Arabidopsis thaliana: one gene and its partner. The protein of the gene in region 1 interacts with the protein of each later gene in a pairwise test. Each region holds a gene or a part of one and is shown on either strand. Other genes may lie near its edges.

Region 1 (3,754 bases):
ACACCCACTATAAAAGGAAGTGAGATCCCAGCTATGGCTATCAATAGTGATTTCTTTCCAGTTTTTTTTATTGCTGCAAAGTCAAGCTCAAGCCCAACTAGGAACAAGAAAAACAGAAGACCAATGTTGGCGAGTGTGTCTAAAACGGTCAAGCTCTTCTTTGGGAAGATGGTGTCAAGATAGGCCTTGCTTCTCCCTAGTGCAGAAGGTCCAAGCAGTATCCCTCCCTACAGAACCATCCCTTTTAGTCTCTTTTGCTATGTGATTTCATCAAAACAGAAAAAGAAAAATACAAAGAGATTGAGTAGGAAACTCACAATGATCTCAGCAATGACTCGGGGCTGTTTGAGAGGCTTAAGAAAGTAAGCTAAGAGCCTTGTAAACACAACCACCAAGACGATTTGTAGGATGATAAGAGGAAGCGCGAAATCAAGAGGGCTTTCGTTTTGGAAGGCTCCATTGGAGGTAGCCTTCATTGGACCCGGGCATTGCCCTGTAACGTTGGTGCTTGCCATCCTAGTGGAGATCTACTTACAGGTTGATGATTGGTCAAGAAACGAGATACTGCTTCACCCTTCAATACTGCCTTGGCTGCTCCCTCATTGCATTGCCAAACGAAGTATGAGACCTGAATGGGAGGAAAAAAAAGAAATCAAGATTTTATTCTGTTCTGTTACTGTTTTTATTAAACAGAATCTACATTAAAGAAGTGAGTATATAAAAGGAAAAAACAGAAAACTAATAACGTCTATAGTTTGCTAATAATAGGTAGATGAGATAGAAGCGGACATACCAACTCCAGGGTGGGCATATACCTCGCACTTTTCTATTTATAGACTATCAGTTACTTAACTTCCAACCATATCGCATCTATACTTCGCAGATATGAACTGCCTTCACTGCGCCGAAGTTTTCGTCTCTGTCTTTGTCCTTCTGTCCTAAATTTGCAAGCACTTGTACCTGTCTCTTAACTAAGCAGCACATTTGATGTCTTACCTTCTGAAGCTTTGTAAACATCAACCATTTTCAAATATATTATCATCGTATAGACGATATAAACATTCTTGAGATGCATAAGTAGTAAGAACAAATGAACACATTAAAAAGGAAGAAGTTAACACTGTTCCAAGCCGACTAATCTAAATTTCAATCATGGGTTCTATACAAGCAAATTTCTGAGAAGGACAAAACAAAAAAAGACTTAAAATTGGAGACCGTGTTCTATTTGCTGAAGCAGCTAAAGCCATGGTAAGTGTAAATTGCACGGTCAAAGGCCACCTTTGTGATCCCATTCTCTACGCAGGATTTTTCTATAACTTCTCCAACTTTCTTAGCCATTTCCTAATCAATTCCAAGAAGAATCAAAGTTAGACAGTGTCCAAGAGAAAAACAATTGAAGCTAAGGGTCTCATGCTAAAACTTGAAAGGTTTCGGCTAGAGAATTTTGTAGATAGATTGTAGTTGAATTCAAAGCAGGTGGTAGTGAAGAACTCACAATGGTAGAACCAGTGAGCAAAAGATACAGAGCCTTGGCCATGGTCTGAGAATTGAAGGAGCTTTAAGCCACCGTACTGAATTGGAATCGGCGTCGAGGCTGTTCTCAGCGAGCTCAGACGCTGGATTACATCACCCTCTATATTTTGTAGGTTTCGAATCTTCGGTGGCTCTCTCGGTTCAATCGCCGCAGTCGGAGAGGAGAGTCTTCCTCCTCCATCTCCACCGCAAGAAGCGACCGTCGATCATCTCCCCCGCCATATACAAATGAGAATCACTAAAAAGTTTTTAACTACAGTTGGGCTAAAAGCCCAATAATAAAGCCCATAAATGAAACGACATCACAGTCATATAAATAAGAGTTCAAAAAGATGAATAATTCCGGGAAATTTTTAGAGGGCAGAGTTGTGTTTCGGCCCAGCTTGAGTTAGGGTTCCTGTGGGGAAACATGAGAGCTTTTTACTGAAGTTTCAAACCTAACTAATTTGTGTTACATCGATCCTTGTTCAAATTTGAAAGATTTGAAGATGATGTCCGATCTTCCAAGAGATTTGTTGGAGGAGAGACTCTCTAGGGTTCCGGTGAAATCATTGAGAGAAGCGCGATTTACCTGCAAAAATTGGAAAACATTATCCAAAAAGCGGAGCTTTACAAAGAAGCACCTTGCTCAGGAAGCAACATCAAGGGAAAGTGAGTTTAAGGTTGTCATGGTCTTGCATTGTAAGGTTTATCTAACGAGCATCAACCTCCGTGGAATTCACAACGGCTTTGACCCGTCTATAAACCGTCAAGCTAAACTTGTTAGCCTAAACGGTACAGATCAGATCGATATATCTGAAGTATATCACTGCGACGGTTTACTGTTATGTATCTCGAAAGACTACACTAGGGTCGTGGTTTGGAATCCGTATAGGAGCCAAACTTTGTGGCTCAAACCCAGTAGTCCTGACCATAGAATGGACTGGTATATCTGTGCTATAGGATACGAGAAGCGTAAATCAAGCCTACGCTACAAAGTTTTGCGATTCGTTGATTTTGCCGAAGAAGAATTTGTTGAGTACGAAATATACGAGTTAAAGTCTAATTCATGGAGGGTTCTCGATGTCACTTCCGACTGGGAAGTAGAGTTTTATGCACGAGGTGTCTCTCTCAAGGGAAATACTTATTGGTTTGCTACAGACAAGTTTCCAGAAATCAGCAGTAATCTTATACATAGTGTTTATTTCTTGCTCTGTTTTAATTTTACATCGGAGAGATTTGGGCCGCGTCTTCATTTGCCGTGTTACCCTATGGATGTAGATACTGTGAGTCTTTCTAGTGTTAGAGAAGAGCAACTTGCTGTGTTATTTCAGCGTAAGGACAACTTACATATGGAGATTTGGGTTACGACTAAGATTGAACCTGAAGAGGTGATGTGGAGCAAGTTGTTCTTAGCAGTGGATATGCAACCACTCACTGATTTTAAGTTTGGAATTGCAGATGCGAGTTTCATCATTGACGAAGAGAAGAAAGTTGTTGTAGTCTTTGCTAAAGACAAAGATGTAATGTATCCCACTCACAACACAGCTTACATCATTGGAGAGGATGGATATTACAAAGAAGTGGATCTCGGAAAAACTACTGATAAAATTCGAGATCCACTTGTGTGCTCGTATGTTCCAAGCTCAGCGCAAATCAAGCAAGGAGGCAAAAGGAAGAAAAAAGGGAAATTGATTACTGATTAACATTTATATCTTGCTTTGTGATCTTCTTCTTTCAACAAAATTTGGTTTGAAATAGGATAAAATTTTGTTAAAATCGAAAGTCTGTGAAACTGTAAGTTTGGTGTGAAGATACTATATTATCTGAATCACTCGCTACTTTCAGCAATCTAATCAAAGGACCAGTTCACGTAGAACCAAATCTTCAACAACAAAAGAGAAGACAAATTGAAGAAACAGATCGAAAAACACGACCACTAACTCTGCTATTCATAAGCTAATGCAATGAATGATTCAACAAAGCTTCATTCACAATCCTTCCTCAGCTTTAAGAATGCGCTCCCGAGATCAACTAAACCTCTCTACTCTTCGACGGCGCAGCTCATCTAAAGGGAGATCATTAGAAGAAGAAAGTGCTGGTCCCTGATTCAGTGACCATCCATTTCCTCTAGCCCGTCCCGAGCCACACATCTCGCAAGCACTTAACCAACCAGAATTGTCATATGTACACGACTGACATCTCCAAATACCAGGTCCTGCTATCCCAGTCTGACCTCTTC
Region 2 (3,754 bases), on another chromosome or scaffold:
GATATTGAAATGTTGTTTTGAATTCAATTTTGCAGGAGGTATCAGAGCCAGCAGCTCAAGCTCTTGTTAATCTTTCTCAGAAGTGTGAATTGGCAAAGAAGATGATTCAAATGGGTTTGATTAAAGTGGCCATGGACATGTTGTATAAGCCAGAGTCTTGTATTACCAGATTACTTGTTATGCTTCTAGTGAATCTTACTCAGTTGGATGATGGGGTTTCTTCTTTGCTTCAGGTCGTTTATCATAAGTTAAATTTGTGTAATATATAGTGGGGATTATCTTTTGGTAGTCTAATGGTGACGTAGCTAATCGTGTAAAACTTTATGCCTTTGTTAGATTGACGATGAGAAGATGCATGGACTACATATCATGAAGCTTGTTAGGTCATTTTGCAGGTCTTCTGGTGAAACTGCTGGTATGTACTTCCCACTTTAGTATTGTAATATAATTTGTCCAAGTTTATATATATATATATCTACTTCTAGATATGATAGTTTGGAATTTCCTTTTCATATATCACGTTTTTGTTTCATATATCTAAATCTAATCCTCGGTAGGACAGTCTAGAATTTTAATGTTTGCATTGGCACCATTGAATATTATGCGTAGTTACTTACTGGTAGTTTTTTTAGTTTGCAATCAAGTTTCATAGCTACTGTATAAAAAGAGGAATGAATTACTGAATATTGTTCTTATTTGCGCACCAGATGATCAGTTTGAGCATGTTGGTTCGATCCTTGTCAACATATCAAAAACAGAAGATGGGAGGAAATTGTTACTGGAGCCAAAGAGACGACTATTAAAACAGATCATTAGGCAGTTTGATTCAACAAATCAATTGCGAAAGAAAGGGGTACGTTTAAAAGGAGTTTGGCAGATTACTCTTTAATGAACATGTTGCTTAGTCTATACCCTTTGAACAATTTAACATGGATTATGCTTATCGGCTTTCAGGTTGCTGGGACTATTCGTAACTGTTGTTTTGAAGCCAAAAACCAACTCCAGAATATACTCTTGATATCAGAGTTTCTTTGGCCCGCTCTGCTCCTACCAGTTGCAGGCAGCAAGGTTTGTTGATTTTGCTTTATAGCTGCTACGTTGTTGCTTACAAAGGTTTTCTTCTTTTATGAGAAAATAGTTTCTGATTATTGGGTTTTACTTTCCTTAGACATACAGTGAGCAAGATGTCGCAAAAATGCCACCTGAGCTTGGAAGTGCACTGTCCATTGAGCGAGAACCAGTTACTGATCCTGACATTCGCGTTCAGACACTCGAAGCTATATATTTGATCATCTTAGAGGTAAAACATTTCTCTGTCTCGCTTTCCCTTCTTGTGAACTCTTGTGAAGGACCAATCAAACCCAAAACTTACAAAAGGTCCTCTGTTATGTCAAAACTACTTTTGATGTTGCAGGAGGCAGGTCGAAGGGCATTTTGGTCAGTCAACGGCCCACGGATTCTACAATTGGGATACGAATATGAAGAAGATCCGAAAGCAATGAGAGCCTATGAGCAAGTCGGTTCTTTGGTATGTTCACTCCCTCTAATCTCACTCACTGACTAACTCTACAGGACTTAAGATAGCATCTTTCTCACTATTAACCGTTATTTGCTGTGCCGTTTTTAACCAGCTTGTTGAGGAAGCTGGAGGTCCGGAAGAGTCGTTGGAGCCAACAAAAGCAGAGTCTTGAAGTTCATTATTTGTTGTTCTCCGACTCTAGTCCCCATTATTGGCTGCCCTCGCAAAGTAAGTTACTTATCCTGTTATGAAAGAGTTACTACTACATCTTGTGCACTACTAGTTGTAACACTAGATTCGTTATTGACTTACGCGATCTTATTAGTGCTCCATTTTCTATTTTTGGTTGTAATTTTATTTTATATTAGACATTATAGTATGTTATCTTCGTTAGACAATATATTTGTGTATTCTTACACACATTTTTTGCTACTTCTCTAATTGTTTTGAATCTGAATCGGAAATCAAGCAGAGAAGATCTAATTAAACTACTAATGAGTTAATGTTTTTTACATATTTTATAGAAATATCAATTAATAAACGATAAACACCACATTATTGCCAACCCCACGAGGTAGCCACCAAATGTGTCCACAATTGTACAGATAAGAGAACAGAGAGGCAAAATCAAATCAATGATTTTGTTTTTAGACTTTTATGTTTTTTGGCATGTGTTTCTAATCATATTTTCACCATTCGTATATTAAATTTTTAATATGTAGAGATTGTAATTAATTAGCACACATTAAAATTGAAACCAGTTGGCGCCTTGACCATTCGTTTAAAGCCACGTGGAAAATTCCGAATAGTTGGGTCCCACCTGAAAAATCACGTTAGATCTCTTCATCATCTCCTCCTCTGCATTTTCTTCTCCTATTCTTCTCGACGACGAAAGAAAACACCGAAGCAACGAGGAAGAAGAAGATTATAATCTAATCTCTCCTTCGTGTAGTTTAGCGAAGAGTGATGCGATTTTCTTCTGGCGGTGTTTGATTTCGTATTCTCGAGTTGTTGTGGGGGAGAGATTGATTAGAATTAGAGATGATGAGTTTCGTGATTTCAGATGAATTTCTGGGGACATTTGTGCCGATTCTGGTGTATTGGGTGTATTCAGGGATGTACATTTGCTTAGGATCTTTGGATAAATATAGATTGCATTCGAAGATAGATGAGGATGAGAAGAATCTCGTTTCTAAATCTGCCGTCGTTAAGGGCGTTCTTCTTCAACAGACTCTTCAGGCTATTATCTCCGTTATTCTCTTCAAGGTATTGAATCTCTCTCTCTCTCTCCCTTCTTTGAACATTGTGGCAAATTTGTGAATGTTATAGGATTTTGGTTGTGGATTATGCTAATAATGTTGTTGTCCTCCTTGTGCTTCTTGTTAATCTAATTTTGTGGTTAGTGAACTTAGGTCGATGAGAATGAATTAGGGGTTTTCTGATTTCAATTCACCTTTTGTTGTCCTGAAGCTGTTGGATCAAGGTTACAGATTTAGGCTGCATTAAGAATAGTTTAGATTCTGGAGATTGTTTGATGAAATAAAACTTGAATCTCCTGCTTCTTGCTGTTTTATATAGAGAATTTGCTAGATTGTTTCACTTGAAATTCTTGAACATAAGGCGTTACTTTAGAAAAGCTTTTACGTCTAGATTTGTGATTCCCTTGTCTAATAGTGCTTAGAGGAATACAATCTTTACCCTTCATCATTCACATGTGCAAGGTTTTGTTCTCTTGCATGGGAGACCGTTATAGATAGTCTTGGAATTTCTCACTATTTGTGTGTTTCAGAGTCGTGAGCTTGTGATGTTTCTCTGTATTGGAAGAAATTGATTGAGGTTTCTAGTTCTCATGTTATGGTACACTCTGGATATTTTGTTGATAGAGCTTCATATATTAGCATTTTGGAGCATTTGTTTCTTGTTTACCTGAAATATTTTGTTTGGAATTTGGTTGTTCTCTTTAGATAACAGGAAGTGATGCAGATGCTGCTACGACACAGCAATTTTCCATTCTACTTCTGGCTAGGCAGTTTATCATCGCTATGCTTGTAATTGACACTTGGCAATATTTCATTCATCGATATATGCACCTCAACAAGTTCTTATACAAGCACATCCACTCTCAGCATCATCGCCTTATTGTGCCTTATTCGTATGGAGCTCTATACAACCATCCACTAGAAGGTCTTCTCTTGGACACTATTGGTGGTGCTTTGTCTTTCCTCTTCTCTGGTA

What was found. Proteins that work in one complex are often made in the same cells at the same time.
Region 2: the proteins of AT3G17620 (region 1) and SBH2 interact in a protein complementation assay, tested with the Arabidopsis thaliana proteins (one large-scale study listed by BioGRID).

Annotation. Positions count from the first base shown.
Region 1 is NC_003074.8:6,025,962-6,029,715, reverse strand, and holds AT3G17620 (F-box and associated interaction domains-containing protein), read left to right. Parts: upstream 1-2,021; coding exon 2,022-3,218; 3' UTR 3,219-3,270; downstream 3,271-3,754. Other genes in the region: CHX19 (cation/H+ exchanger 19), read right to left, coding at 1-227, 318-515; AT3G17626 (structural constituent of ribosome), read right to left, coding at 1,222-1,341, 1,496-1,537; RBL14 (RHOMBOID-like protein 14), read right to left, coding at 3,543-3,754.
Region 2 is NC_003070.9:4,880,591-4,884,344, reverse strand, and holds the start of SBH2 (sphingoid base hydroxylase 2), read left to right. Parts: upstream 1-2,079; 5' UTR 2,080-2,560; coding exon 2,561-2,785; exon of another isoform or gene 2,786-3,373; coding exon of another isoform or gene 3,374-3,376; intron 3,377-3,483; coding exon 3,484-3,754. Other genes in the region: AT1G14300 (ARM repeat superfamily protein), read left to right, coding at 36-233, 337-415, 708-853, 955-1,068, 1,169-1,528, 1,632-1,691. UniProt on the Arabidopsis thaliana protein: Involved in sphingolipid trihydroxy long-chain base (4-hydroxysphinganine) biosynthesis. Can use C18- and C20-sphinganine as substrates to produce C18- and C20-phytosphinganines (D-ribo-2-amino-1,3,4-trihydroxyoctadecane and -eicosane).